Linked DNA regions of Styela clava. The protein of the gene in region 1 interacts with the protein of each later gene in a pairwise test. Links are inferred from orthologs where the notes say so. Each region holds a gene or a part of one and is shown in the gene's direction. Other genes may lie near its edges. The genes, in order: AP-3 complex subunit delta-1-like and vesicle-associated membrane protein 7-like.

What was found.
Region 2: the proteins of AP-3 complex subunit delta-1-like (region 1) and vesicle-associated membrane protein 7-like interact in a two-hybrid assay, tested with the Homo sapiens proteins (2 studies listed by BioGRID and IntAct). The link is inferred for Styela clava from reciprocal best matches to the Homo sapiens genes AP3D1 and VAMP7.

What each region holds. Positions count from the first base shown.
Region 1 is NC_135250.1:30,759,347-30,776,264, forward strand, and holds the start of AP-3 complex subunit delta-1-like, read left to right. Parts: upstream 1-8,583; 5' UTR 8,584-8,709; coding exon 8,710-8,811; intron 8,812-10,167; coding exon 10,168-10,263; intron 10,264-11,754; coding exon 11,755-11,835; intron 11,836-13,740; coding exon 13,741-13,929; intron 13,930-14,624; coding exon 14,625-14,754; intron 14,755-16,918. UniProt on the Homo sapiens protein: Part of the AP-3 complex, an adaptor-related complex which is not clathrin-associated. The complex is associated with the Golgi region as well as more peripheral structures.
Region 2 is NC_135250.1:21,520,401-21,536,883, forward strand, and holds vesicle-associated membrane protein 7-like, read left to right. Parts: upstream 1-12,465; 5' UTR 12,466-12,569; coding exon 12,570-13,268; 3' UTR 13,269-15,543; downstream 15,544-16,483. Other genes in the region: arylamine N-acetyltransferase 2-like, read left to right, coding at 1,317-1,500, 1,718-2,094; inositol monophosphatase 1-like, read left to right, coding at 15,572-16,411. UniProt on the Homo sapiens protein: Involved in the targeting and/or fusion of transport vesicles to their target membrane during transport of proteins from the early endosome to the lysosome. Required for heterotypic fusion of late endosomes with lysosomes and homotypic lysosomal fusion.

The sequences.
Region 1 (16,918 bases):
GATTTGCACACTAATTCCAAGTTTAATCAACGTACAGTTTTGTTGTATACCCAAGAGAGGAAAGTATTTGATGAATTATCCAGTAAATTTAGTTGAAATACCAAACCGTTTTTAAATATGTTACATCTACATAGTTGATAAAATTGAAAATTATACGCTATGTTTGGTATTATATATGGCCAAGTCAAAACGTGCTGCTACTGTTCTGACATAATAAAATCGAATCTATAAGGTATCTGCTTCTCTCCAAATGTGTCGTAGTGCTGCCTTTATTGGCGGTTTTCGAGAAATCGCTATTTCAATTACAATAATTTTTTGAAATTTTGAAAATAATCTACAAGAGGACGTAAAATGCTTTTTGGTATTTTATACTTTCCGCAACTTAGTCCAAGTTTAATAAACGAATAGTATATATGTATGTCCAAGAGAAAAAGATGTTTCATAAATTATCTAGAAAATTTAGTTGAAATACCAAACCGTTTTTAAATATGTTACGTCTGCATTGTTTATAAAAGTTTGAATACACGCTCTGTTTGGTATTATATATGGCCAAGTCAAAACGTGCTGCTACTGTTCTGACATAATGAAATCAAATCTATAAGGTATCTGCTTTACTCCGAATGAGTCGTAGTGCTGCCTTTATTGGCGGTTTTCGAGAAATCGCCCTTTCAAAAACGATAATTTTTTGAAATTCCGAAAAGGATCCACAAGAGGTCGTCAAATCATTTTTCGGCATTTTAAGATTTGCACACTAATTCCAAATTTAATGAACGTACAGTTTTGTTGTATACCCAAGAGAAGAAAGTATTTGATGAATTTTCCAGTAAATTTAGTTGAAATACCAAACCGTTTTTAAATATGTCACATCTACATTTTTTAATAAAATTGAAAATATACGCTATGTTTGGAATTATATATGGCCAAGTCAAAACGTGCTGCTACTGTTCTGACTCATTGAAATCGAATCTATAAGGTATCTGCTTCTCTCCAAATGTGTCGTAATGCTGCCTTTATTGGCGGTTTTTGAGAAATCGCCCTTTCACAAACGATATTTTTTTGAAATTCCGAAAAGGATCCACAAGAGGGCGTCAAATCATTTTTTGGCATTTTAAGATTTGCACACTAATTCCAAGTTTAATCAACGTACAGTTTTGTTGTATACCCAAGAGAGGAAAGTATTTGATGAATTATCCAGTAAATTTAGTTGAAATACCAAACCGTTTTTAAATATGTTACATCTACATAGTTGATAAAATTGAAAATTATACGCTATGTTTGGTATTATATATGGCCAAGTCAAAACGTGCTGCTACTGTTCTGACATAATGAAATCAAATCTATAAGGTATCTGCTTCACTCCGAATGAGTCGTAGTGCTGCCTTTATTGGTGGTTTTCGAGAAATCGCTATTTCAAAAACGATAATTTTTTGAAAATTTGAAAATAATCAACAAGAAGGCGAAACATGATTTTCCGTTATTTCATACTTTCCGCAACTCATTCCAAGTTCAATGGACGTACAGTATATATGTATGTCCAAGAGAAAAAGATGTTTGATAATTTATCTAGTAAATTTAGTTGAAATACCAAACGTTTTTTGAATATGTTACGTCTGCATTGTTAATAACTTTTTGAATACACACTATGTTTGGTATTATATATGGCCAAGTCAAAACATGCTGCTACTGTTCTGACATAATGAAATCAAATCTATAAGGTATCTGCTTTACTCCGAATGTGTCGTAGTGATGCCTTTATTGGCAATTTTTGAGAAATCGCCCCTTCAAAAACGATATTATTTTGAAATTCCGAAAAAAATCCACAAGAGGGCGTAAAATGATTTTTTCGGTATTTCCTACTTTCCGCAACTCCTTCCAAGTTTAATGGACGTACAGTATGTATGTATGCCAAAAGAAAATGATGTTTGATGAATTATCTAGTAAATTTAGTTGAAATACCAAACGGTTTTTAAATATGTTACGTCTGCATTGTTTATAACATTTTGAATACACACTATGTTTGGTATCATATATGACCAAGTCAAAACGTGCTGCTACTGTTCTGACATAATGAAATCAAATCTATAAGGTATCTGCTTTACTCCGAATGTGTCGTAGTGCTGCCTTTATTGGCGGTTTTTGAGAAATCGCCCTTTCAAAAACGATTATTTTTCGGAATTCAGAAAAGAACCCATTATAGAGAGCGTAAAATGTTTTTTTTTTATATTTTAAACTTTCCCAATTAATTCTTAGTTTAATAAACGTACAGTATTCATTTGTGACAAAGAGAAAAATATATTTGATCAATTTCCAGCAGCTTCAGTTGAAATACAAATCCATCTTAAATTTGCTACGTCGACAATGTTTATAAAACTGAGAATACACGCTATTTTGGTATTATTATATATAGCCAAGTCAAAACATGCTGCCACTGTTTTTTTATAGTGAAATCAAATCTATAGGGTATATACTTTTTTCCGAATGTGTCATAGTGCTGCCTTTATTGGCGGTTTTCGAGAAATTCCCCTTCCAAAATCGATAATTTTTCGAAATTTTGAAAGAAGCCACGAGAGGGCGTAAAATGTTTTTTTGGTATTTTATACTTTTCTTCTGCAACTCATTCTAAGTTTAATAGACGTACAGTATTAATGTGTGACAAAGAGAAAAATATATATTTTATCAACTGTTCAGCAAATTTAGTTGACATACAATTCCTTTTTAAATTTGTTTCGTCCACATTGTTAATAAAATTGAAGAGTATACGCTATGTTTGGTATTATATATGGCAAAGTCAAAACGTTCTGCTACCGTTCTGACATAATAAAATTGAATCTATAAGGTATGTGCTTTTCTCTGAATGTGTCGTGATGCTGCCTTTATTGGCGGTTTTTGAGAAATCACCAATCCAAAAACGATAATTTTTGAAATTCTCAAACTAATTCAAGGGGGTGCGCAAAATTTTTTTTATTATTATTTTATACTTTCTGAAACTTATTCTAACTTTAATAATGTACAGTATTGATGTGCGACAAAGAGAAAAAGATATTTGATCAATTATCCTGCAACTTTAGTTGAAATACAAACCTTTTTTTAATATGTTACGTACCTTTGTTTTAAAAATCGAGGAATATACGCTATGTTTGGTATTATATATGGCCAAGTCAAAACGTGCTGCTACTGTTCTGGCATAATGAAATCGAATCTATAATGTATGTGCTTTTATCCGAATATGTCGTAGTGCTGCCTTTATTGGCGGTTTTCGAAAAATCGCCATTTTAAAAACGATAATTTTTTGTAATCCAGGACAGAATTCACTAGGAGTCGCAAATGATTTTTTGCTGTTTTATACTTCCCGCAACGTATTCCAAGTTTAAAAGATGTACAGTATTAATGTGTGACAAAAAGAAAATGATATTTTATCCATTATCTAGCAAATTTATTTGAAATACAAAATCAATTTGAATTTGTTACGTCCATGCCGTTATTAAAATTTAGATTACACGATATGTTTGGTAATATATATGGTCAAGCCAAAACGTACTGCTACTGTTCTGTTATAGAAAAATCGAATTTATAGGGTATCTGCTTTTTTCCAAATGTGTCGTGGTGCTGCCTTTATTGGCGGTTTTCGAGGAATCGAGGTTCCGAAAAGGATAATTTTCCGAAAATTCGTATTTGCGGAATACCTGAAAATTCATTTTTCGCTTAGTTAGTCTTTTTTTAAACACTAATTTCTTGTTAAATTTAATGTATTCATTCAGTTTAAGAATTTTTCATCTATTTTCGTGCCAATATTATATTTTGATCAGCATTTTCAATTTTCATATTTACCTTATAAGTGAACAATATATGCGCGTGGAACCTATATTCAATGTATAAAAATATTCTGGCTGAAAGTGCTGCTAGCTTCACAGTGGTGGTACACATACTACAGGAGTATTCTTTTCTGTTGCTTGGTATTTTGCTTATTTTAAATATAAAGGCTTATCGTAAGAAAAAAATTTGGTGGCATCTCGCAATTTTTTTCGGTTCGAATATTGACAATTCTGTAAAAATTGAAAATTTCAGTAAGATAATTGAATTTTTCCCGATGGGGCCGTGGCCCATCAAGCTATGTGGCCAAATTAGATGGGCCGTGGCCCCGGCCCATGGGCCGTAGAAGAGTCACCACTCTTGTAGGACTTGGTAGACAACAAAACAAGTCGAATTACCTAGCCTATATCAGTATATTTAATGTAGCCACATATTTTTTTTTGATATTAAATAAAATAATAACATAGATCATTACATACAGATAAAAAATTCCATAATATTGATCATTCGTATCCACATATTTTATTACACAAGTATTGATCTTTAAGATCTATCGTCCTGTATCCTGCAATATTCAGATAAGTTACATCTAAAAAAACTTCGAAAATGGTTTTGCACTGGATCTGTAGCGACATCTAGCCGCCATTAAAACGATTTGGGGAAAAAAACTTCGATCCATAGGATAGGATTTACATATTTATCCCGGGGGAGAGGAAAGCCGATAAGACGGCTCATCCATATGGCGAACCACGGCCTCTCGTCCGGTTACCATTCCAAGTCAGGTATGGGATTAGTTATATTGTTTGTTTTCGGAAGCATGTTCGGAAGCATGTTATCAGTTACTTTTACTTTTGTTTTTATCTATTTTTTTATCGTCTATTGCTGATTATGGAGTCGAAATAAACTTATACTTATACTTATGGACTTGGTGGTGGAGGAAGCCGTAACCGACCAGCGGTTACGTGAACCACCCATAACTGAACGGAAACTTTTGACTCTGACTCAGGATACCAAATTGTAAACATCATAGCAGATATCTAAGATCATTCGGAGTTGATAAACTGCTGGCCGATTTCTTCTGCCATCAAGGTATGCTTGCCAAAACTGGCTAAATAATCCCATCCCCGACTTGGAATGGTAACCGGACAAGAGGCCGTGGTTTGCCATATGATTAAGCCGTCTTAGGGGCTTTCCTTCCCCTTGGATAAATATGTAAATCCTATCCTATCTAGATCTTACTATAAAACATCTAAAAAACAGCCCGGGAGATATTGCAATGTTTCAGTCGTCTTGTAACTTGGTATCACCACGACCATTAATCTTAGATATCATTACGCTGTGTCGAAAAATCATTGTTAGGCCACAATGGCGTTGACTTGTATTTGTGAGAAGACGCTTTTGTTGTACAAGTCATACGGGTCGAAAAAATCTTAATAAAATTGCAACTCACGAAGCTGAAAGGTTTGAAAACGTTGATGTCTCCATTCATTTAGGTATCAGCCTTCAAAGATTCTTGTCAACTACAACAGCAAGGGTGGGCAAGGCTTTTGAACCAGGGGTCAAAAATGTTGCCCATCTTGACTGGCGGGCCGCGTAAGTGTGATGTAAAAAGTTACATATCATGAACAGAATTTTATTGGCAGTGTTACAAAAGAAAAAGTGGGAAACAAGCCTCGTGCCAAAACTAAATTTAATCGAAATCTCAACAAATTCCTAGAGCTATTTTTAGCTAGAACATCAAAATTCTGATTTTAATTTGTTTGTAACAGCATCATGCAGGCCATATTGAATTACTCAAAAAGCCGGATTTGTCCCACGGGTCGTAGTTTGTCCATGTCAACTATAACAGACATTGGCAGGTTCACTAACACTTATATCTGCGCTAAACAACACATAATTAACATTGTCCATGAGTTGTTTATACGTGAGAGTTCGATATCAGTGAACCCCTATTCTAATTATATTATACTTTTTAACTGTTACCAGTAATATTTAATAATTAATGTAATCTGGACTACAATTTGGCAATATTTTGGTGTGTCCTTGGTAAATGAAAAGATTTATCCCACCTCTTCATGCACTCAACTTTGGCAATTTTGGTCGGCAATTTGGCATTTGACTCCAATTATAATCAGCTTGGCGAAATCTTTTTTTTTGTCCTTATATTAAATACTGTTCACTCTTGTTTGGGAATTTTTATGAAATTATTAAAATGGTGTGGCGAGCAATTCTTATTTTTATTATATTTCCTATCTTTTATTCTAATTTCTTCTTTACGTGTTTATTTTTTGTTGCCATATAATATAATTTATCCAAAGATCCCTTGAAAAGCATTGCACGATTCTGAATCGTGTTTTTTTGTATTGTTGGAATTTTTTTTTGGTGGGCGGGCGCGTACTTTGATGTTTTTTAATTTTATTTTAAGTTATGCTCGCTTTCCAGGTATCTCTGCATTTTGTTTGTTCGTCTACTTTTTGTGCTGTTTTGCTTTTTTGTCAGAGTAATGAAATAAATGATTGATTGATTGAAAGCTTCTCTCTTAGTTCTAACTTGATTATTGCCCTATGGTTGTGTGTGTGCGAGTGTGTACGATTTGATTCAATAGTTTTAGGTGAGTGAACATGCACCACTTCTTTTTGGCAATACCTTCCATTTTATATTCTGTACGTTTTAAACCTTATCTAAGGTTTTGTTTACTTTCCTGATTTCATAATCAGTTTTTATTTATTTGTTTTTATCAACCGTTTTATTGCCTTTTTGCTGATTATGAAGTCGAAATAAACTTATCTTATCTAACTATAGTTATCTTTTTAAATAATATGTTTGATAATATAAATATAACTTCATAATATATCAATATTTCAGAGGATATTGTCGAACCACCTTGTAACGGCTTCACCGAAACTCAGAGGTTTGATCGAACTCCGATTAAAAGACACTGAGCTAGACGATCATAACGGCAATCATAATTTTTGACGTTAAATTTCGATCGATATTTAACCATTTTTGGCAAGTAATAAACGTCAATATATTGGAGGTCAATCTTTGAGAAATATACCCTTATTGTGCTACGCGATGCAAATTATCCCATACGGAAAGTTTCTTTCTAATCATCCTATTATTTAAACCTGTTCAACTATTTATTTATGCATTTGTCTTTGAGTGGTAATTGACTTTGATGACTTCAACATTTTAAATCTTTATTTCATTTTTATAAATTGTATTGTTTTAATGTTTGCGAACGAATAAAATATATTTTTTAGAATGAACTGTTGCCTTCTATTTACAAGTTTCATGAGTCAATTTGAAAACTAGACTCTGATCAATACCCAAAAAACTATTGATAAAAGTTCACGACCTTTCTGCCACGGCGAATCGGAAACTTGATGAAGCGGAAAGGTTCGCAATCCGCCGGTCGATTTTTTCTTGATTTTCGTCGATTTTTTTTTGTGATTTTAAACATTTTCATGCATTGATTTGTAAAAGATATTTTCTCTGTTTCAATACATGATAAGTAAGTACTCACAAGGATACTTAACGCTGCGGAAATGTAACTACCGGTGCCGATAAGCGCTCATGTGACTTTTCGATATCTTAGACTTCACAGCAAATGCTGAAATGCTAACAACTGAAGATAACGCCGAATCGGCCAATGTACCGGTACCGTATTGGTAACAAGTAGATTAATAGACGGATATTTTATTTTAAAGCGACAGTACCGGTATGAGTGCTACAGTACGACGTAACTTACCTCCAACTATAATTTGACTCCAACTATAATCAGCTTGGCAATATGTTTTCAATAGAATCTTCCTTTTATATCTTAATTAACGATTAGAAGATCGATCAATTTGGCAATGGCAACCATTACAAAAATATCAATATGGTGTGGCAGATAATTTTCTTTTCTAGTATTTCAGTATTTATTTATTTATTTTTTTTTTGTTTACTGTATAGTATACCCTAAATTTATCGCGTTTTATTCTTACTTAAATAACTTCTCAGTGGTTGTGTGTGTGTGTGGCTGGTGGGTGCATGTGAGCGTGTGTGAAATAACTTAATAATTTTAGGTGAGTAAACACGTACCACTTCCTCTTGGCAAAACCTTCCATCTTATATTTTGTACGTTATAAACCTTATCTAAGGTTTTGTTTGCTCCCCTGATTTCATAATCAGTTTTTATTTATTTGTTTTTATTTATTTGTTTTTATCTGTCAAATGTATTGTTATGCTGATTATGGAGTCGAAATAAACTTATACTTATACTTATACTCTAAAAACAAAAAAGCAAACAAGAAAAAGAAACAAATTTAAATATTAATAATATAACTCTACTGTCTGACTGTTTTGGTAGTAAAATTCAGATGTTGATGATAAATTTTTCCACGAATATATAACAATTAATGTAATGATTGTGGGGCGCTCCCGAAGTATGCGAACCAAGATGGCGGACATCCGAATGTAACAGGTTAGGGTTAGGCGATAATTTTTTTCCAATTTTCCTTATTTTAGTCCTATTATCAGTTCGAAGACTAGCCAAGAGCCTCCCGTAGTATTTATACCTAAAATTATGGCCTAACCCTAACCTAGTACACATATTACATTCTGATGTCGCCATCTTGGTTCGCATACTTCGGGAGCCCCGATTGTGGAACCAGTTCTTAACATTATACTGTTATAGTCTAATATTTTATAAGGGAAGGGAAGAGGAAAATTTATGGAAGTTTGGATCACTCAACTGCATATTTCCAATGTCTGTATTTAATCAGTGTTTACAGGAATTACAATGGTAAAATTTGAAAATAAAATCTAAATAAATTAGTCTTTAAATCAGCAAAAAACACCATTAAAATTGGTTGGGATTTATCAATAGGAGTTTCAGCTGAACAAAACAGCAAGATGGCTCTTACACTGAAAAAAGTGAAGGGAAGTTTGGATCGAATGTTTGATAAGAATATGCAGGATCTTGTCAGAGGAATTCGGAATCATAAGGAGTCGGAGGTTTGTGTCTTGTTTGTTTGTGTTCTGAATTTTTTTTTTGTGTCATTGCAATGCAATTCTCAGCCAGGGGAAAATTGCTGAAAATCAAATATGCATTTCCTATGTGATAAATTGGGTGGACAGTACCATACCAGAAAAAAATTCGCACATATGTACAGAGACTTGCTGTTATGGACAGGGAATAAATTTTAATTTTTAAAACTCAATATCAATCATTTATTATAAAATTGGGTTGGCGAGGCAGAATTGGAAAGGTTCTGATTTTATAATGGAAAAGTTTTATTCTTTCATCTATCATTTTATTTATTCAAGATATCTTGAATTTAGAAAAAAAATCATGAACCTACTATCAAATATGACTGTGTGGTTAATTAAACTAGTAGCATTTATTATTAACTACTTCCCCCCCCCCCCCCCTAAAAATTTATTGTTGGTGAATTTATATGCACTGAAACCCAGAGTCACAAGCCGAGTAAGGTCAAAGGTTATCCTAGTATTTGTTGTTAAGTCTATCACATTTGAGTCTTACTGAGGACCAGACTGGATGCCATGGCAGGTGCACACCTGAGTTTGCTAATGCTCCCTCAAAATGCATGCGAGCGAAATTCCATTTTACACGCCGGAAAATTTGGGATTGTCCACCGTTATATATGACAGTCTGGAGGGTGGTGGAATGAAACAGCCACCAATAAACAGTGCTGATGAGTTTTAATATTACAAATTGACCTTTCGGCATCAAGAACATGCCATAACCCACGCCGATTAACAGCTAAATGGGCCTCTCTTGAAATGCGAGACTTTTTTGTTTCCTGAACATAATTGTTCGATTAATTGACCTTTGGCATATGCAATCGGATCGCCTTCGTCATTTGCTAGATGGAACTCTGCGTCAAAGCACCCCGTTAAAATAATAGCCTATCACACTTGTTTATTCAAAGTTTTTCCGATATGGCCATTCTGTTAGTTGCACGCTGAGAATCTAGGTTTTCACGCAGTTTTAGTAATTTTGCACGCGGATGCAGACATTTGGAGTGCTGCAGTCACTGATTGCACCCGATTTCTCATGGAAAAAGGTCATGAATTCCAGACTGGACTGAGAGTTAGTCTACGAGTCATTCTATTCAGATAACTTGAGTCACCTTGAGTATTTGATTAAAGGTGACTCGATTCCAACTAGAGGCGAGTCAATCACTGAGTTAATTCTCATTGGGGGTTTGTCAACTTCGAGCCATTTCATTTTGATGACCAACTCAGAGTATGTGTTTGATAAATCTTGACTAAAGTTGATCTCGAATAGAGTGACTTAAGCCTAATTGAGACCTATCCAAAGTGTGAACATACTTTTTTGTAATTCAGTCTCGCTACATCGCTGGTTGTGTTGAAGAAATCAAAAGTGAACTGAAGCAAGACAATGCGGCAATCAAGGCAAATGCTGTTAACAAGCTTATCTATGTGAGTTGCCGGTTAATATATTATTTTTTTTTAAAAAATATTTCCTCAAAGTAAGGTTGTCCTCACTCAGAAGTAAAGGAAACTCACATCTGAGCAAAGTTATGAGTTTATGAAGGCAATTCTTCACATAATACGTCGCATTACATCTTGTATAACTGCCCTAAAAACCAAACCAGCTGTTATGCCACGGCCTAATATCTATCCCTATTCCTAACCTGCTGTCTGTATGACGGCCCAATAGCCCTCCACAGAGGGGGCTATTCAAATGACGATTAGGGCCATACATCCATCGCTATTCCTAACCTACTGTCTATATATCAACCTAATAGCCTATTGCAGGGGTGGTCATTCAAATGATCTATGACAGGGCTACTCAACTGGCGGACCGCGGTCCGAAATCGAACCTTTCGAGTATTTGATTCGGACCGCACCTAATTCTTTATTTTAGATCATTAGCCCCACTTTTGAAGTTTCCTTTTATAAAATGACTTATAGTTTTGAATATATATGAAAACAACTATAACACCATAATAAGCAATTTTGATTAGCTAATAATCATTAGCCGGTCGAGGAAGTGTGCGTTTAAGGATGCCGATATATAAATTCTGGAAAGTGCGGACCCAAATAATTTTGAATTTTCGCATGCGGATCTTCGGTGAAAATAGTTGAGTAGCCCTGATCTATGAGACCATAATATGGTTCGATATATTATATCCACCTCCATTTCTAACCTACTGTCTATATGGAAGCTCAATAGCCCTATATAGTGGAGGCCATTCGAATAGCGATGGGGTCCACATCAGTGTTAACTCTAAGCAAATTATGAGTGCGAAAGTGCTTCGCAGTCGAAAAAAAAAGTGCGAAAGTGCTTTTGCCGATTTTCACAAGTTATGTGCCCTAGCCTTTCATATAACCCATTTAAAACGGCATAGATACTCGAGAAAGCGCTCCACCGGTTAATATTATGAATTAAAGAGAAGCCTTTTCGTTAACCGAGTTCCCTTTAAGCGAATTCATGTTTAATTAAAACAAGCGAATTCAAATTCGAGCAATTAGGGTCATAATATACTCCATAATCTACTGTCTATATTACAACACAATAGCCCTGTATAGAGGAGGCCATATCCCTATTCCTAATCTGCTGTCTATATGGCAGTCAGGCAGCCTGCTATGGAGGAAGCCATTTAAATGGCGAGTAGGGCCGCATATCCATCCCGATTCCTACCTGCTGTCTATATGGCAGTCAAGTCAGGGAGGCAATTTGAATGGTGGTTGGGACCATATTATCAACCTTCTGTTTATGTCAGCCCAATAGCAGCTCTGTATAGCACTATACAGAAATTCAAATGGTAATTAGGATCATACATCCATCCCTATATCTAAAGAACTGCTTATATGGAAGCATAATATCCCTGTATGAGGTAGGAAATTCAAATGGTGTATGGGACGATACATCCATCTCTATACCTAACTTTGTCTTATTCTTTTCAGCTTCAAATGCTTGGGTATGACATCAGTTGGGCAGCTTTCAATATCATCGAAGTCATGAGTTCACCAAAGTTCACATTCAAGGTTGGTACGATGGTTGCATTGCATTTAATTCACAAATTTATTTTGGGTAGGAAAATGTAGATATTCATAAGTAAATGCAGATTCTATCATTCAGTGTAAAAATTTTAGAAATATTTTCATTTCAGATTCATTTTGAGCAATTCATGTCTCACAGTTTTCACACTTTTAATTTCTTAAAACTTTATAAAAGAGAAAGCCAATTAAATCATTAATCATCTCAATTCTCTCCGACATTATCGTATTCAATCTCATTAAATGGAAATTGACTGTTTTATATTAAAAATTATTCGGCTTAGAATAAATTATTATTACAGAATGTAGTTGAAATGATAAACTGTTTGGTTCTGGCTATCCTGTCATAGAAGTTACCAATCATGTCTGAATTATTTAGATACTGCTGTAAAGCTGTTTATATCTCATGACAGTCTCTTTTACCTAGTAAACAGCTGTATTAAGAAAACACCTAATTGAATTACATAGACAATGTTGGGCACTCTAGGAGTGTGTGTACCAATATGGAGGTAATTTTGTTCGCCTCCTTTACATCAAGTTTTGTAAAGGGACTGAAGCCTATGGGCAGGGACTACCTGGTACGCATGCACTACGGAGGTACCCAAAGTTGAACATGAAAGATCGCTGCCCTTCCGATAAAGTTGTAGCACCTCATATTTGAGTAGTTGCTTACAGAAGGCTTTGTTCAGCCCTAACAAATATTTGTACTCTGTCTTGTCAAGCATTCATTTCATTATGACAACTAATACAGATAAATATAAGTATAAGAAATCAGGAGAGCAAACAAAACCTTAGATAAGGTTTAAAACGTACTGAATGTATACAAGAGGGAAGGTATTGCCTAGAACAGTGGTTCTTAAAGCATGGGTCGCGACCCAAACATGGGTCGCGGAAGGTTTAAAAATGGGTCGCGACAAGGTCGTTAATGCAAGGGCAATCTAAGAGGAGACGGACGAATTTTCAGATTTCCCAATGTTTCAATTTAGCTTCCAAACTCTGGTATTTAAAAATAATGGAATATAAAATTTCATTCACGGAAAGAACTGTCTTGAGCTCATTGTTACATCACAATTCTGATATGCCAGTCACGTGTATTATTTTTATGGTAACGGTAACCATGCAACGTTGTGTTGACCGCGTGGAATGTCGTCTTAGTGGATTAAAATAACCAAAAATGGGTGTCGTTTTGGTATTGTAAATTGTAATAGACGACGCAATGAAAAAGCTCGCTTCTCGACATTAGATTATTCAATATCTAGAAAAAATGTGACTTCATCTCGAGGCACCATTTACCGCGAACGAAGCGGTGTGTGCACATTTGATGAGTAAAAAGTTGTATATTGCGAGAGATACCGAAGGCCAGCTAGGATGTCGTGTTTGCGACGGACAGCGGACGCCTCTGTTGCTACAATTCGCGACAAGGCATTTGTGCGAGCGAGGATATTTGGCACTGACGGTTATCAAAACTAAGCTCGCAATCGCCTCGATACCCGTGACAACTTGCGTATTGCGTTATGTAAAATAGAGCTGTGTATTGAAGATATAATGAAAAGGAAATTTCAGTTTCATCAATCTCACTGAGTCAATGGACTGTTTCTAATAAATAGTTGTCTGTATTTGAGTCAAACTGTACTAACATTAAAAACACATTTTGCGTTATTTAGGATTGGGTCGCGAGTATTCATAAAACTCAGATTTGGGTCGCGCTCGAAAAAGTTTAAGAACCACTGGCCTAGAAGAAGTGGTACGTGTTCACTCACCTAAAATAATGGAAATATTTCACACACGCTCACACGCACCCACACACACAACCATAGGATGACAGGGTACCTGATCGCACAAAGCTAGACTGCGAAAACGCCTCACAGAATTAATCATTCTTTTCTGTTTCAGAGAATCGGATATTTCGCTGCATCTCAATCATTCCACTCTGAAACCGACGTTCTCATGTTGACAACGAATATGATTCGAAAAGATCTCGGATCGCAGACAATGTACGATACAGGAGTCGCTCTCAGCGGACTGTCATGCTTCATTACTCCGGATTTAGCAAGAGATTTAGTCAACGATATTCTGGCTTTGGTGAGTTTTTTGATGACTTTCTGATCAAAGTTGTACAGGCAATGCTATAGTGTCTCAATCATACACTAATATGCAGGCAGAGGCCTGTAGTTACTCAATTACCAGAATTTGGACAGATATTATTTTGCACATGAGCCAAACTTAATTCAGTAGTTTTCTACCCTGGTTACGTCAGTGCAGCACAGAAATTCCGCAAGTATCCGCTTAAATCTTAGAGTCTAAATTATTATATATATATATATATTGTTTAAATACAACCAAATACCTTTATTAGGTTTGCTAATTTACTTATATCATTAACTTGCTACACTTTATTAAAGATCATTTTGTTTTGCCAGTATTAGATTTGCTTAAATATATACAAATTTGTTCGATTTTTTAGTAATAACAATTAAAAATATCGCTCATAATAACAACTGTAAGTTCGAATAAATTTTATAGTATGATAAATTGATAAGTGAGAACTACGAGCACAATAAGAACTATTAATAAACAAAGACAAAGAAATTTTTAACTGTTTTACTATAAACTCAGGCGATACTTTTTGGACACCTTATGTAGATAAATATGTAGTTATACTTTATACAATTCATACTATTACACAGGGACCTCTATTCTTATGCCTCTGAAATGCCTCTACAAAAAAGATTGATAACCCCCGATTTGATAATTAATAAAAAATCTTTATTCTTCAGATGTCATCCACTCGTCCCTACATTCGCAAACGAGCCGTCCTTATTTCATATAAAATATTCCTTGCTTATCCTGACGCTCTTCGACCTGCGTTTCCAAGATTAAAAGAAAAGCTGGAGGACCCTGATCAAGGTTGGTGTAATTTTTTTTTTACTTTTTACTCTGAAAAAGTCTCAGTATAAGCAATCACTGTTGAGTTAGGGCAGGGGTGGGCAACATACAGCCCGGAATTTTGAACGACCCGCTGACTGTATCCAACCACACTCTGTAATATGGTCCGACGCATCATTCCTGAAAGTTGCCGATCGCTCTACTCTCACCGCACTGTCAGTGCGAGCTTGGGAAATAAACAATTTTCTAATGAACAAACAATTGTTACAAACACTTGTTAAACAAACAATATAAGGTCAAAGCAGAGAGCGTTGTAAACATTCCCCACTACTGTTATCAGATGTATTTATATTTAGATTCTAAATATAAATGGATTTTAGAAATTAGATTTTATATTAAGTTTTATTAACCATGGAATATCCCAAGAAACGAAAAATTGACAAGAGAGTGTCGAGCATTTAACAGAGGTTGGATATCGAAGTATTTTTTGTAATAATCCGGCCCGCCGAGGACTTCATTTTCCCACATCTGGCCCGCCGACTGGAGAAGTTGCCCATCCCTGAGTTAGGGGTTAGATTATTTTTAATAAAGGATGGAAATCATACTGATTCAGCATTGCCTACTCAATTTTTTACACTCAGGTTGAGGAGGGAAACGGCATAAGAATTGAATCCAAGATGTGTAATCTGCTAGTTTTTAGTTTGTATTCATTTGTTTTTTACACTGAACAAGTAATCAATCACTGATAGGTGAAAAGCTATGATATTTTTGAATGAGCTCTTTTTAGTTCAGCATTCCCTATCCAATTCATCACACCCTGACCAAGGTGTGTATGTTTTTCATCAGAACAAGACTGCTTATTGAAGGGCTTAGTTTCAAAGTATCACAATCATTCAGGTTCAGTCTACTCAATGTAATACACCCTAGGTCAGGGCTACTCAACTATTTTTACTGATGACCCGCATACAAAACTTCAAAAATATTTGGGTCTGGTCTTTTCAGAAATTATATTTCGGCATCCTTTTTCGGCCGACTAATGATTATTAGCTAATCGAAGTTGTTTATTATGGAGTTATAGTTCTTCACATATATATTTAAATCTATAAAAGTGATTTTATAAAAGGAAATTTCAAAAGTGGGGCTAATGATCCAAAAAAAGGAATTAGGCGCGGTCCGAATCGAATACCCGTCCGGATTCGGACTGCGGTCCGCCAGTTGAGTAACCCTGCCTTTGGATTATAAGCGGAGAGACATAAGACGTTAATCCGATATGTGTAATCTGCAACACATCCTGGTTCTTAGTTTTTATTTATTACTTATCGATTTTAATCGGTAAGTATGTTGATAGGTATTTGTCTGTCTGTCTGTCTGTTAGATGCACGCGATATCTCACGAAAGCGAGATTGAATCTGCTCCAGATTTTGCATGTGCATTCATCATATGTCGTACCAGAAGCCTATTGATTTTGGATGAATTATGTCGTATAATTAACGAGTTATTAATTAATTAGTGATGGGACACAAGGTGTCACTATGGAGTATGAGCGCTGTTTTGGTGGATCCCCTAACTTTCGATCGATAAGTCTTCGGTCTCTGACCGATATTCTCGTTTGTGCTTTACTCTGAATAAGTCTCTGTCCAAGCAGTCAATCACTGATAGATGAGAAACTATTATATTTTTGAATGATCAGAACCGTTTCTGGTTCGGCATTACCTATTCAATTTATTACACCCTGTGTCATAAATTGAATTAAGTGAAGGAATTTGATGTGCTTGGTGCAGCTAATGGCAGGAATATAAAGTGTATAAATTGAATTAAAAAACACTGTTTAAATAAAACAAACCTGGTTAAGATATATTGAGTTCATAACAAGATTGAAATTGTAAAAGGACTTTATGACTTTATGTATATCCTGAATAGTAAATTATTTGGTTCCGATCATCCTTGTATTGAATATTTTAAATTTCTTCATTTACTGTTCCAGTTAAATATTGATTTTGATAACATTACTGATCAATAATCATCACAAATTTTATTGATTTTATGTTTTAAATTTAAATCAAAATGAAGTATCTACCTTTTGATATTATGAATGAATGTTCCCATTATGTGAATTATTCTGTAACATATTTCCAAACTGAGAAAACCGAATTTAGACTACAAAAACTAATACTCCTGTAATGTA
Region 2 (16,483 bases), about 9.2 Mb from region 1:
ATGTCGTTGTTCTTCTTTATCATGCTTTCTTTTTCACATAAACCATCAGACCAATTGATTTGGAATTATTAGTGGTTGAAAATTGTATTTTTCGCTAGAAGGATATTGCTTTTATTTAATCCAAAAAATTCTGTGGGCTCTATGAGATTCATTTTTTTGCGTGCATTGACGTCAGCAAAATTACGCACCTTGTGGCGGTTCCGCGTTCGCGGTCACGCAAGGTCGTGAAGTCTACTTTGTTAGATTGCATACCAGTAGGGTTACCATTTTTTTTGACTTCAAAGCGGGACGCCTCCAAAGACACGACCCCTTAGCTGTGACCCTGTAACTTTACAGTTTCCGATTTTACTATATAGGCCTACATTTAAAGCCATCCCGGCTGTCGTCATTGACCATATTGTCATCGAACGCATATTCTCTGTCTGAATATCGGGTTCAGTTCAAAAAATAGAAAGGAATAGACGCTAACGATACAAATGATCCGAATTTAGATTTTTTATGTACAGCAAAAGGAATAAAAAATAATGAAGTAGTCTGCCGTTTTCAAGCATTGACATTTAGCCTACTTATTCGCCCAAACATGCTTTTCTGTGATAACACCTTCAAAAAGACGAAATAGTCTGCCGTTTTCCAGCATTGAGATTTACTTATTCGCCCAAGCATGCTTTTCTGTAGATAACACCTTCAAAAAGACGTTGTTCAATGTTACATTCACGTGAACGTCCGAACAGGACCAATTAGAATTGATTTTACATGTGATACGTTCGCTGACAATGTTAGCGAGTAACAACGAAACAAAATAACGCATTCACCTTCAGTAAGTACGCTAGCGTTGCGCTACACAGCAACAACAGTAACGAGAACATGCTCGTGTTTTATGCTGGATGGCTGAATGCCAAAGCGGGACTTTTGGCTGACTTGTCGGGACGGCGGGACAAGACGCTTAAAAGTGGGACTGTACCGCCTAAAGCGGGGCGTATGGTAAGCTTACATACCAGGTTTTTTTTTCGTTGTGGCATTCGTGTCCATATATTTGAGCATCGCTGTAATTATTTTTTTTTTCAACTGAAAGTGATCAACATCACGTTTTCTAGAAATCTGATTATTGGTGGTAATTTTCGATAGATATTTTTAAATGCGTTCCTTCTCCCCTGTTTATACTTTAAAGAAAAGTGGGTAAAACAGCGCCCCAGTAACCTGACGCTTTTATTCGTTTTAAGACAAATGCCGGGGCTCTGATCAAATCAGGCATCGGGTTCAGGATAAGCTCCCAAAGTCGTGGTTCAACCACAAATCATATCAACACTGTAATTTAGGTTTCTTGGGACACTGAAGACAAATACCTGACAGATGTTGGGTGGGGTGGATCATCATTTGTTCTTCCGTTGAATTTAAAAGTAGGAATTGAACAATCTCAACCAAATGGAATTTATCGCCTGAGTGAGAATCGAGATATGTATATTGTGGAGAAGAAGAGACAAACCTATTTGAAAAGTGAATGTGAGTTCAGTTCACAGTCTAAATCGAAATTCGGATCGGTGCTAGGGATCTTTAGATAATTTTGTTTGTAAAATGAAATTATACAGTTCAAGGTATCATGAAATTAACATTCGTATGAACGCATATCATTTTTTAAAATGGTCCGAAATATTTAGCAGTTTACGAATATCTTACAATTGATAAACAATGTATAGGTGGACTTTTTTCTGTTGTGTAGATGATCAACTTTACTTCAACAGTAAAGCCGAAAAAGATTGCGTAAAACTTGATGAAATTCGCTTCAAAGATATTCCGTGGAACATCCTATTTGGTGTGGAGAAAGCTCCGTGTACCTTTGAAGATTGTAAAGTCGGGCACGACTATGCTCAAGATGAAGAAAAATTCATGATATCGAAACCAATCGTGATCCGTCAAAACAGGGAGAGAAGAAAATTTTTTGTGAAAAATTTATATTACGAAAAGAAATATATCGACCCCGTAACACTGAAGTTAGAGAGATTTCAGAAGTGCTCGATGGAAGAAATGTACGACATTCTGAAAAAAGAATTTGGAATTATTTTGAATTTTAAACTCAGTATACCATTTATTGAATGAGTTGTACTTTGGGGAGTACTTTGTGTTATTGATTTGTTTTAAATATTAAATTACATTTACATAACAATTTCTTGCAGTTCATTATTATTTGAATTCACAGAAACATATTTAAGACTGAAACTCAAAGACTAACTGAGCCTTGGCCAAACAGCTGTTTGATGCAATAATAGCTACCATGATCAAACATGCCAAGAACCACTACGATATTAATTTTTTGTAGAATAAACCAGCACATCCTCCTGGCTGATGAAGATATAAACATTTTAACTTAAATCAAGATGTTTAAAAAAATCCATTTTTGTGCTGTTGTGCAACAACTCGCCTCTGTAACATTTCACCACGTTCTCCCTCCCATAAATACATAAGGACTAAATAAGACTGTGTTTTTACAAAAAAATAAAAATAATAAAATGCGATATTTGATGTAATTCAATTATCAATAACTTTTAACTGGTTTATTAAAATTACTGATGGATGTTCGAGGGTCACATTGGAGCTCTTCAAGTGGCGCAAGTTATTGCTCATTAGTAGGCCAATTGCATATTATTGGAAGTATCACAGCTCAAAATTTGGCAGCATCTCCAGGCCACAATTTTAAAACTCGCCGATGACAAATAAGCGCATGTTTTTTATTTTTAAGGTCATTTTTGGTAAAATAAATGTTATTCATAAATGAATATTTTGTATTAGTAATTTAAGTTTTCGACCATAAAAGCATTACAATGCGTTTAGTATTTGAAACTATACTCACGTCGCGAGGTTTCACCAAATTTCTTTTTTTCAAATTTGGGTCGCTTGCAAGAAAAAGGTTGGGAACCACCGCAGTAGACTATCAGTACCGCTGTCTTCGCGAATGTGCCTGACCACCAGAAAGCAACAAACGCAATTTTTGATGACGTCATCGCACACAATAAACGAATCTCTTGGAGCCCACAGACATTTATGAAAGTGAGAAAATAAATGCGAAAATACAATTTTTAACCACTAAAAAATTCAAGGCAACTATAGTTATTGAGAAGCAATTTTCCCTACATTAAGAAAAAGAATAAAAGAAAGAAAAATACTGACAAGATGAACAACAACAACACAATAACAAAACGTTCAATAGGTAGGTTTACCATATATCTGGTACAAAAAACCGGGACAGTGCGGATCGGACTAACTTTGGTTCGATTCTGAGGCTAAGTAATATCTGAATCTTCTATCATATCTTTGCGAGTAGATACCGGGCATTAAATTAGCTATAAATTAATTTGTACGCGCAGTCGCCAAACATCATTTATAAAAGCAGTCAATTATTTGAAAATTTCAATAATCGACATAAGAGAGACACCTGCGGTTGCCACACTGCAATAGTTGTACTCATAATGACAATATAGCAAAATGATTTCTGCTCTGTTACTTGAACAGAGTAAGTTTGAAAAAATTATAAATTTTGACAACAAGACTTTCTACTCGAACGGGCAAAGTATCCACGGAATGATGTTGAATTTAGTTTTAAGGTAAATGAGCCGCAAATCCTATGCGAGTCTCGTAAAGGCTCGTTTCAGTTTTATTTTTGAGTTTGAAAAAAACATTATTGCCCCGTGTCTTTCTACGCGTCCATTTGGAATTTCGATAATTTATCGACAGGTCAGTTAACGTTGTGCGTCAAATTATCGCAATTAACATAATTATAATACCTTTCACACAACAAAACAGCAGTTCTCTCTCCCTCTGTTAACTAGTGAATCAGAGATAAATTGGATGCTTCCGTTAAGAAAATAACTTTGTAATAATATTATATGAAAAAATTGTTTTTGACTGCCACGCTTTTGAACAAGCAGCTAAGCTCTCCACATCTGTTTTGTTTTGCATTCTAGCTGGCTCTTTATTTTGTCCTATAGCATGCAAAGCATAAGATTCTTCCTCATATGGCTGCTCATATTCTGATATCTGCATGTGCATGTTTTTTGTTGGGTTTCTGATATTCCACATGCATGATCTTTTATTTCTATTTGAGTGGTGTGTTTCTTTGTGAGGGTTGTAGAAGGTATAATTTAACTCCTGTACCTATTACTGTAATTAGGCGACCAGTCGAGATATATTGGATTCTCCCCTTCATTTTGATTTGCTGTGGTACTCAATGATTTGTCTTGTGTGTATACAAAATTTTATTCTAGGTTAAGGTTCTACTGTGAAGTTAACGTGAAGGCCAACATACAAATGGTTAGTGTGGTTTGAGAGATCTTACATGGTTTGCGAAGATTATTTACCCTGTGTCCCAACCAGAATTCAAATCAGGTCTTTCAACTTGCGTTTTAAAGATAAATAACTAATGATCAATATTTAATCAAAATATTATTTTCTTCTCAACAAAAGTGTAGGGTAGTGAGTGTTATTTCCTAATATGTAACCCTTGAATATTCTACTCGAAGATTTATTTTCTGTTTTTCAGGTCGTTTGTGATGACCAATTTAATGGCTAGCTTATTGAATATAAAGAGTGTCTACAATCTACATCATCAAAATTGGCAGTCTGATGTCTCATCTATGATAAATTTGAATTGACAACAATTGCGTTACATTAAGTAAATGAAGAAATGATCCTGTGAAATAACAATCCTAATTCCTTTGTCCTTGCAGAAGTCAATATCTAAGATTGAAAAAAACCTTACTTATACCCTTGGTAATCAACATATTCCTATTCCCCGTTGTCCTACCTTAATTAATTATAATAACTTATGTCACTTGTACCTTTAAATACTTATTACAATCTGGACTATAATCTGGCAATAATAGGCTCTAGTTTGGGGAATGAAGTGGTCTACTAGCCCACCTCTTCATGCACCCAATTCTGGCAACTTTGGTTGGGCATTTTTGGCAATTGACTCCAACCAATGACATTAAACAACATGATAGGCAACTCTGACGTCACTCCATAAGACTACATGCGAAAGATTGTATTTCATGATACGCTCCAATGCACATATTTCTCGTCGCCTTTCGCGACCGTTTTCCGCTTGCTTTTGCTAATCGGCGTCCTCTTTACGTTTAGTACCTGCCTTTTTGCGCCTGTAACGTAAGAAAATAATCTCTATATCTAAGAAGTTTTGCTCACTTGGAAAGCTGGAATGACATACAAGCTGTAAAGAGTAAAATGGACATCATAGACTTTTTTTTTTATCAGAGAAGATTACAAACGCGATAGCGTAAAGATTTGTGTGGGACATTTTGCAGATAATGACAAAGTTCAAAGGTAGTCATTTTAATGTTTGCGCTTAAACATTGAAATTTCATTTAAAGAGGGTGTCATACAAAACAGCAAAACTGTTTTTACTACTCTTAACGGTGCTGTGATACAATTCCATAACACAAAGTTTGCACCTATCGAACTTGCCTTAGTAGGTGAATTTTTTGGACAAATTTATTGTGAGGGATTTCGCATGTAATTCTCATTGATTGGTGGCTGTTTATAATTCCTATTAATTGTGAATTCTGATTATACCAAAGAATTTACTGGCACCTTTTTCTTGTCAATACTCCAAGCTGAGGTAATAAACAAGACAATACATTCATGTCATGTGGAAGCAAAATATGCACACTAATTAAAAGTTTGACACATTGAGATAATACATCATTACAGAAAATACAAGTTAAAGATATGTATGACCATCACATGGTAATTAAAATTAAAATTAATAGGGGCTGTGGAGTATGAAAAGTTCAAGACAAAGAAAAGAACAAAAGTTCTCTCTAGCTCAGGAACTCTCAATTTTGCCTCCATTGCTTTGTGAAGGCCAATATATTGCCAGTGGCTGAATTGGTTTACCTTTATGATAGCAACGATTTTGTTTTTAAAACGGCAAGATTTTTTTCAATTTAATTGAAGTGATATTATTTCCCAAAGCAATGCTTGAATTGTCTAGAATAGATCAGTGGTGTCAAACTCATGGGTTTTCGAGAGCCGCATTGCATGTTGGAAATTGTAAAAAGGGCCGCAAACAGTTTTTAATAATGTATACTTGAAAGATATTTTCAAGATTTAAGTTTTAGTTTGTGACATATATTAGGATGCAACTAAACAGTTGGATTAAGTTTTATTATTTTTTTTAATTTCAAATGCAATTTCATGTTATTATTTGCATTCCACTATTATTGCAAGTTACTGTATTTATTACAAAAAATCATAAAATTCTATGTACAACCATCAAAATCATTTTTGAACAAGCTTTGGATAAGGAAAGAATAATACATACACTAAAAAATGACTCAATCTAAATATATGAACCTAAAATTAACAAAAATACTACAATATAAACTCTATGTTTTTTAATTACATTTGTCCTGACGTTTGGCCAGGATGAAATAATTTTATAGTACCAACTCTAACTAACGAGGTCACATGATCATGGGTTAATGTGGATCTTTGCGAATGTTTAATTAATTCCAGTAATGCAAAAAAGTTATATTTATCATTTCATGTATAGATCAGTAAAAAAACAAATGACAGATTTTTTCGACAAGAAATTTCGCGCCACATTGCATGGCATAGGATTGCTTGAATTATTATTGATATTTAGTAACAAAAGAGTTGTATAATTATATTAATATACAAACATATGGAAATTTTCTGTTCGAAGTTGGTCTTCGAATTTGTCATATTGACTGCTGAGCCTATTGTGTTATTTCATTGTACTGATGGAAATATGACAAATTAAACAATGTGCTTCAGAGAATTTTGTGAAATGCAGAAATATTGCAACTCCCATTTTCTTCGAAAATGCCACCTTCTTCATGTACTTTGCGTTTAATTTAATCACTCAAGTGTTTTATTCAAGTATTATTTTGCTAGCTTGATGTGTATTCTTAAACGAGTTAAAATGTGAACAAAAAAAATTAATTTTTTAAAACTACTTTCAGTAAATTGTTTTCTGTGTGAATATTCAATTTCACTTTAAAAAGTTTGAAAAATCTGTTACATTTAGATAAAAAAAAAATTCCAAAATACTTTTACAATTATTATTAAGCGTTCGAGGCCGCACTGGAAATTCTCTGGGGCCGCGAGTTTGGTCTAGATTGAAGTTGTCCAAAATATATACCAGTATTTTATCATGAATCATGATTATACCCTTTCCTGAATTTCTTCTACAGTACTACCAAAAGTTGATGGACCAAATATAACACAGGTGTAGTGAGTGACCCGAAATCCTCATTTTTCAAAGCTGTTTTAAGAATGCCTGGCATGTTTTGTGCTTTTTCACAAATAAGACCGCTTATGCAATCTTACGCATTGGAATTTTTAGTTATTTTCCTCAAGCCTTGCAGGATGTAGGGGCCATACACAACTCTACCGGAGGGTCAAATGCATTTGCATGCCTCCATAGGTTGTTCTTCTATTGCAAACATTTATGGAGTATTCTAATTATATTTCTTGGTTCTTATGCCTACATTTCATATCTCAATCTATGGTTTTCTTCACACAACACATTATTGTCACTCATAGAACCTTCAATTTCCCTGTGATCATATCCCTCATATTTTATCATGTGTAAGCACAAAAGAAGATTCAGAACAGATTGAAAGTGTAAATTAATATAACAAATAATAATAAATTTGGAATGGAATTCTTATTTTTTGCTCCTCTCTATTTAAAATTTATTTAATAACTTCCTAATCCCGATTAGAAATTTTTCTCATCTCTAATTATATATCATTTTTTTTTTTACATAGTGTATATAGTTTTTTTCCATATGTATATCCTGAGAGTGTAATATTACAGAACCTGTGTTATTAATTTATTTATTCATGTGCTTGCTTTGGGTGGTAACCGACTCAGATGACTGTTAATGGTCGTATCGTTACCACCCTGTCATCTACCGAAACCTAATTTTTCTCATTTTGCTATCATATATATATTGTATGAGTTTTCTGGTTTGACGAAACAATAAAAAAATTCTCTCTCTCTCTCTCTTGGAATCACACTGTCACTGATATGTCGCCAGACTTCTGATATCTGCTTCTGCTACAGTTGTCCTGTGAATAAATAATAGGAAATTGAGAATAGACGAATAGTTGAAAGTTTTGCTTTATGTCGGCTTAATTTCTTGATTGATATACTTACTATTTTTGCTATTGCCGCTTGTGCTGCAGGAGTCTCACAATGCTAGACAGGTTTTTCCACAACATTCACATCTGAAGAAAGAGAGGAGATTTATTAATTTTCGTTAAGAATGAATAAAGCAGTCTATATGATTTAGAATGGGAAAGCTAATAAATCCAATATCCCATGTCTATGTAAAATATGTTTTACTGAATTTGGTATATAAACCAACTAATAAAAGGGTTTAGTCAGAAAATTACAAGCATTCTTATACTTGAGAGATCAGACTATACAATATAGACCGGTATGAGTAAAATGTTAGGTGAACTTGTTAACCCTTTGATTCAATACGCAAATAAAAGTTATTGAGCAATAGTATGTTACAGAAATGAGTATATATCCTCACTGAATAAAAAATCTAACTGGAGGTGCATGAACTATTTGAAACCATAAGGGGTAAGTAAATATGCAATTTCGGCAAATGGACAACTACGTACCGTACTGAATTAATAACTTCGTAGTATTTGACAAAAGCTGGCTTTCCCACATGTACTAAACAGTGCGATGCCCGGGTGTGATATACAACAATAGTATTTACCTTACCTTTTTTCAATTTCTTTCTACCTCAACTTTACAAAATATCATTAAAATCGACAACAACTGTCAAAGCAGGCACGAACACCATTCGTGCTATTCCTTGAAAGCAGCACACATCCGCTCGTTTTCGTCTCGTCAAGTATGTGCATTGGAGCGTGCTATCGGACACGATCTTCGGCCAAAAATGGCGGAGTGGCGCATCATGTTGTTTAATGTCATTGCTCCAACTATAATCAGCTTGGCACAGCTTGGTATGTTAGTCGTTGGCTTGGCAATATATTTTTCATAAAAGTTTATCTCTACTGTTCACTCCCATTTATAAAATCTATCAATTCGGCAGTGGCAAACGTTATAAATTTATTAATATGGTATGGCAAGTAATTTTTATTTTATTTTTGAACTACCCGTATGTAATTTATAACTTCTTAATTTATAACTTCTGGTTGTGTGTGTGGGTGCGTGTGTGAAATATTTTCATTATTTTAGGTGAGTGAACACGTACCACTTCTTCTTGGCAAAACCTGCCATCTTGTATACATTCTGTACGTTTTAAACCTTATCTAAGGTTTTGTTTGCTCTCCTGATTTCATAATCAGTTTTTATTTATTTTTTTTACCAATCATTTTATTGTTTTGCTGATTATTGAGACCCGAAATAAACTTATACTTATACATGTGAAAGTATTTCCCTCCGCCTCTTGGTGTAGGCTACTTCGACTGTATGTAAGTTTGCGAAAATGTAATTTTGTATGAAATAGCTTCCACAAGAATGAATCTGCGTAGAACCTTACCTTAGTATATACACACTAACCCTTTATGTTATAAATGCCCCGTATACCGGTATAAGCGTTAGCCATATTTCTCATATCAAATAATAGACTACCGGTACTGTAGCATACCGGTATAGCCTTTGGTCGTTCGAGGAGCATCGCATTGCGCACAGTAAGGTCGCATTAGGAATGTCCCGTTATCAACAATTAGGCCTCTTTATCAACAGCGCACTTCAGCCAGTCAGCATTATGGATATTGCGGGTCGCATTACTGCATTGCAGCAGCGCTTTACGCACGAAATCTATGATGACAAGTTGGACGGGACTTGTTGATACTGTGATAGTTTCAAGGTATAGCATTAAAAAGGGATAGTTTATGTGTCCTTGGTGTCTGGATCGGCAACAATGACACGACGCAACAAAACTGGAATCCAATTATAGAAAAAATCAAAAGAGTAGTGAATATATGGAGAGCTCGAACTATGAGCATGCAAGGGAAAATACTGATTACTAAAAGTCTATTATTATCTAAATTGTGGTATCTTGCGGCTGTAATAACAATTCCAAATGATATCATTAAAACAATTGAGACCCTAGTATGGGATTTTGTATGGAACAACAAACAACCCACGGTAGAGAGGAGAGTCTGCTGTGCAAGGAAAGTTGAAGGAGGTCTGAAGGCCATGGATCTGTGTAGTCAGATTAAAAGTCTACAAGTTAGATGGATTTGGAAATTATTAAAAAGTGATGAGGCTCCTTGGGCAAAGAGAGCGAAACAATTTATAAATAGATACCATCCTAAAATAACAGTGACAAATTTAGAAATACTACATCTCTCTTTGAAAATTTTAAGGAATAATAACATTCCTAAGTTTTATATAAATTCGGTCAACATATTCAAGGAACTTGATGTAAAAACGAAACAAATTACCACTAAACAACAAATATATGATCAATACATATGGTGGAATCCAGCCTTAACATGGTTGAATCAACCAGAATTTATAAATAATTGGATAAGAGGAAACATTTTAACATTTGGCCATCTGTTCCAATATGACTGTCTTGAAATAGCAATCAAAATTTGGGGCATAAACAAATGGAGTAGTATGCGTGAAAATAAAAAACTTGATTGTTATAGGAAAGTAGTAAAAGATTCTGTACAAATTTTAAAAGCCATACCATCAGGATGGGCTAATGTGTTGAATAGTCAAAGTAATGTTCAAACAGATTCCAGTTCAATATATTCATTTGAAAAACTTCCAACCACGAAATATATGTATAATCAAATTATAAGTAAAAAGATAATGGAAGTGACAAAACAAAAAGGTTTATCAATTAAGGAATATTATGGACTGGAATTTGATATTGATTGGAATAACATTTGGGTTCATGGAATATCTAAAATTGTACAAGTTTTATGTTGGAAAATAATTCATATGGCATTACCTACTGGAAATAGAACAAGGCATTGGACAGAATATGATGATGGTCACTGTGTGTTGTGCAATATTAATATCATTGAAGACTGTAAACATCTATTTTTTGAATGCTATTATGTTAAAATATTTTGGGATTGGTGCGAGTTGCATTTTAGTGAAAATAATATTGATACCATTATTGCACAAAATACATGTGACCTGTCAGTTATTATGATAGTTGCATGTGGAAAGGCAGCTATTTGGGAATTCAGGAATCAAATAATATTTGAAGATTTGGATAATTTCCAATCAGTTATGAGAATAATTTTTAAATGTAAAATTAGAGGGATGCTGAAAAATATGGCATCAAATATGAAAAATAGCTTTTTGGAGGATGGAAGAATTGAAAACTTGTTAGAAAAGTCGGTAATGTCATAGCTTTTGATAGTACATTTTTAAGATTGACTAGTATTGATAATATTGACTGTTTTTATAAATAAAAAAAAAAAAAAAAAAAAAAAGATATCGTGGCTGTTGTTCCCGAATTGTCATTCGATGGGCTTAGACGTTGATAACGCGCCTTTTAGTTTTATTGCTGAGAAAAGGCGTTTTATCATTCAGTCATTTCATGCAGATATAAGGTACCGGTATATTATATAATAATAGCCTCTGAATGAGTATAATGAATGTTTTTTTCTTGAAGAATATTTACTGTTAAGTCTGAAAGTGTTGTCTAACTTCTGAAATTGATAATAATTTAATGTCATTTGTGTTATTTAGTACAGTAATATGTGCTTTTTTATTGATTAGGCCCTCTACATTGAGTCGGTTATTTTATGGTGATCAATAACATACTAAATATCCATATAACAGTAACAGTATATTATGAAAAAATTTTACGCCGAGTCAAGTTGCATAGTTATAAGATGTAAAATGGTCGAATAAAAATTATCTCTGGCTATTTTCTCATCTTTCCATTTAGCTATATTGTCGCAACCAATTTTGTCAGTTTACTCATACAGTCATAGTGCACAAAAACGCGCAGCAGCCATAGTGACCTTCGATGGTCATACTGCAGTACTGGCCTGCACAAAACAATGTTTAAATTGCTTTGCAATTACTGAATATTGTTTTGTATTATTTTGTAATATTAACATTGTTTGTGGAAACAAAATCTTTTTCACTCCTTTTTAATTTATATTTTAAATTTTATACCACATGGCACATTGTGCTGTTTTCGCGCAACCTATTACTGATAACCTATTATTCAAAAATACCATCTCAATTTTATAGAAAAAAAAAAAAAAAAAAAAAAAAAAAAAAAGATACTGTGATAGAAGCAGCAGTGAGTCGAATTGACTTGGTACCTGGTACTGAAATTTGCTGGGACAATAAATAAAATATCCAATCACAGCAATAGAGCCTGGCACATTATTAATAAGTTTGTACCCGGTATACCGTACTTATGAAAAGTTTTTTTTTGTTTAATTAGGAGATTGAGTTATCGTATTCAGTCTTACATCAAACTATAATGCTAAATGAAAAATTTGAAACTTTACAGAATTATATTGGGCATGGTCTAGCTCACTAGTCTATCTAAAATAAGTATGGCTCTTTTATATGTTGTTGTCGCTCGTGAGACGACAATTCTTGCCAAATGCGCAAGTTGTGCTGGCAATTTTGACGAAGTCACGGACCAGATACTGAAAAAGATTCCAGACAAGGATACAAAAATGACATATTCGCAAGGAAATTATTTATTTCATTATGTAAGAGAAAATGGAATTGTATATTACGCCATAACAGAAGATGAATTTGAGCGCTCGAAGGCGTTCCAATTTCTGGGAGAAATAAAAAGAAAGTTTCAGAGAAACTATGGAGATCTTGCTTTGACAGCTTTACCATATGCGATGGATAATGAATTTTCGCGGGAACTGTGGTCTCAAATGCAAAAGTATTCCAAACCTGTCGTGGAATCCCCCGAGATTTCAAAAGTAAAACAAGTCAACGATCAGCTTGATGAATTAAAGGGTATAATGGTGAAAAATATTGATAGCATAACAGAACGCGGAGAAAATCTCAATCTACTTGTGGATAAAACAGAAGATCTTAGCCAATCATCTGTCACTTTCAAAAAACAAAGCACTAACCTAGCTAGGAAGCTATTTTGGAAAAATGTTAAAATAACAATCGTCCTGATTGTTGTTGCAATAATAGTCATATATTTTTTGGTTTCTGCGGGTTGTGGAGGACTAAGTTGGCCAAAGTGCGTGGGGAAATCTAATAATGGTTCAAGAATTGATTGAATTTATTATTTGATGATTCGTGTAGTGAGTTTGTCATATAGTTTGCCAAAGTTTGGTATTAGTGATTTGGGTTATTTTTTTTTCATGCATTTTGAAGTCAAATTTTTGTTTTTTGATAATGGTTCTAGTTTTGTGTTGTGCATTAAGCTGAAAATAGTGGTTATAAACTGAACCTATGAATTGGTGAATTCTCTAAGTTTGTTCAATACCTCTGCTAGAGCGGACTTTTTCATTTATAGTTTTTGAGTGATACAAAAGTGCCGTCAAACTATTAAAAGGCAGATTTGGAGTATGAGTTTTACTTAACAAATACGGTTATTCTTCAATGATTTTCACCAATGAGTCATTTCCTGACTTCGTTAATGTACAAGCATATATTGGGAAACACTTATCAATTTGGTTCTGTTAAATACTGGATATTCGTTAGTCGTACATGTTATTTTTTTTGATGAGTTTCATTCACTTGCCTTGAGTAGCTCTTATTGTATTATATTTTTTCATCAACCTGAATTGTCATTATGGTTTCATGTTGGACGAATAAATAAATCATGCTAGAAACTGTGGCTGATTAGGTATTCCCCATTTACCATACCTAGTCTAATATTTACTGTTAATTCATTGCATTGGTCTGTTCAATCTGTTTCAATGTATTTGAACAACCCTTGCACGCAACTATCTCCACAAAAATTGATATTGTGTTTCATGTGTAAAGTAAGCAGTGGTGCAACGATAATTAGACTCTTGGCACAATGCATGACAGAAAGTTTATTTTAAAAGTTCAGGAAATGATAATCCTTCATATTTTTGATAAGTTTGTTTTGTTGTATTTTAGGGTATGATAGTTTTTAGTTGTGTCCTTTTGTTATGTCTCATTTTCACTCCATTAGCTGTATATTTTTTCTGTCCAGTGATCATATGATAAATAAATATAACTTGACAACCCTTTTTAAATCGAATTTCCACGAATGGACATATTCTACTAACATGAATGACTATTCAAAACTGTGTAAAATTACCATATAAAGCCCCAATTTTGATGATTCTGGGATTTCGGAAATATATTCATTTGTGAATTTCATATACTCTGAATTGTTTGGACTCCTCTGAATTGCTCTCATGCGCTTGAAACATAGCATTGTTTATCTCACTTGACTGTTTTATAAATGAATATGTCTGCAGTTATGCCAGGGGGGGCCAACCTGTCTTTGACTGAGATTGACTTAATTTTTCACAATATCTTGCGATTGACTGATGGATAATAAAGTCACACACAAAAATGAACGAGTACTAAATTTAGAACTGAACCTCAATAAGGATGTTCCGCTTCAAATCCCTGAACACCAGACACTAGAGCTGCTTGTGGATATAGCCATCCTAATTATCCCCTGCCTAGACTGGAACCCTGTTCACCCCCAGATTCTTAAAAAAGCCCGTGCGGGATTGCTCTGGTATGGTGGGCTCAGTTTTGACAGATACCACACAAGAACCTGCTGCTTAATAATGTTCATGTTTAAATGAGTGATGCTTGGATATTGGTTAAACACATATTCCTTGCAGGCATGTTGATAAGCACGGTCGACAACTCAAGACGTGGCAATCGTCCTGTTGGTCACCCCTGAGATATGTCATAGAAGTTTTTTTTGAAAGCTGTGCGACTGTGCTAAAATTCTTCTTTTTAAATCCATTAAGTTAAATTATTAATACAAGTGTTGTAGCATTTTGTAATACTCTTTATTTGTGCCTTAGTTATCTTATAATGGGTTTTAGTAGATATGGTATAAATGTAAATGATTTGAACCAAAATTCATACTAATGCTTATTTGAATGAGACAGGTAATCTAAATGCTCAAAAAAGGTTTACTGAGAGGCATCAGACTCTGATATAAATTAGATTTTATTTTATTGAAGTTGTTGAAAATTTGAAATTCTCAAATCGCAAGTTCAATCTTTTTTCGTTAAGTGTTCACTGCAAATTAATCATCTTTCTTTAGTGTCATGAACAATCAGTGTTGACTTCAATTCGTTAAAAATTCATGATATACAAGGAATTTTTTTTTTGTGGAAATTCTCTGCTGTAAATTAAAACTAAATTCTTCAAGGCTGCTTATTTAATACAGGGATGTATAAATTCCAAAATCTGTTGCCCATTTTCAATATCTCAAATCGAGGGGTATTTTTTATCAGTACTATAATATAGAAATAATGAAGTTACATTGTGTACTATCATTGCAAATATCATAAACATACTTATATATAATGTTGCTTTTTTATATAGCACTTCAATAAAAGTAGAATAAATCAAAATGGATTCTGAAGATTTTCAATTAGCAGAAGAATATTTTGCATTTGCTATCGAATTGGCAAAAAAGGTTGGCCCAATGATCCGGGATGCTTTTTACTCGGAAAAAGAAATATTGACAAAATCTTGCACAACAGATCTTGTGACGGAGACTGATCAAAATGTGGAAAAAACAATTTTAGAAGCAATAAAGAATTCTTACCCTAAACATGATTTCATAGGCGAGGAGTCTGTTGCGGGCGGACTAAAATGTAATTTAACGGACGCTCCTACTTGGATTGTAGATCCTATTGACGGAACAACTAATTTCGTTCATCGATTTCCATATGTTGCTGTATGTATTGGGTTCGTCTGGAAAAAAGAACGTCTTTTTGGTGTAGTTTATAACCCGATTTTGAATGAGATGTTTACAGCATTCAAAGGTAAAGGAGCTAATTTGAACGATAAAAAATTAAAAGTTTCAAAAGAACAGGATTTGGGGAAAAGTATGATAATGACTGAATGTGGTTCGAGTCGAGATCCAAAGCACTTAGATAAAATCTTTAAAAACATGCAATCTGTTATCAGTGCCCCTGTACATGCTATTCATAGCCTTGGAAGTGCAGCTTGCAATATTTGCATGGTTGCCCAAGGGGGAGCAGAGGCATATTATGAATTTGGCATTCATTGTTGGGATTATTGTGCTGCCGGAATCATTGTGGAAGAAGCCGGTGGTGTAGTCATTGACACTCAAGGTGGTGAATTGGATCTTATGAGACGAAGAATAATAGCGGCAAACAATATGTCAGTGGCAAAAAGTTTGTCAAATGTGATTGTGGAACAAATGGAATTACCTAGAGATTAATGTCAGAGCGGTTAAGCCTGATGAAAATTTTGGCGGACCACCTTCATACAAAAGAACTAAGCTTATGAAATA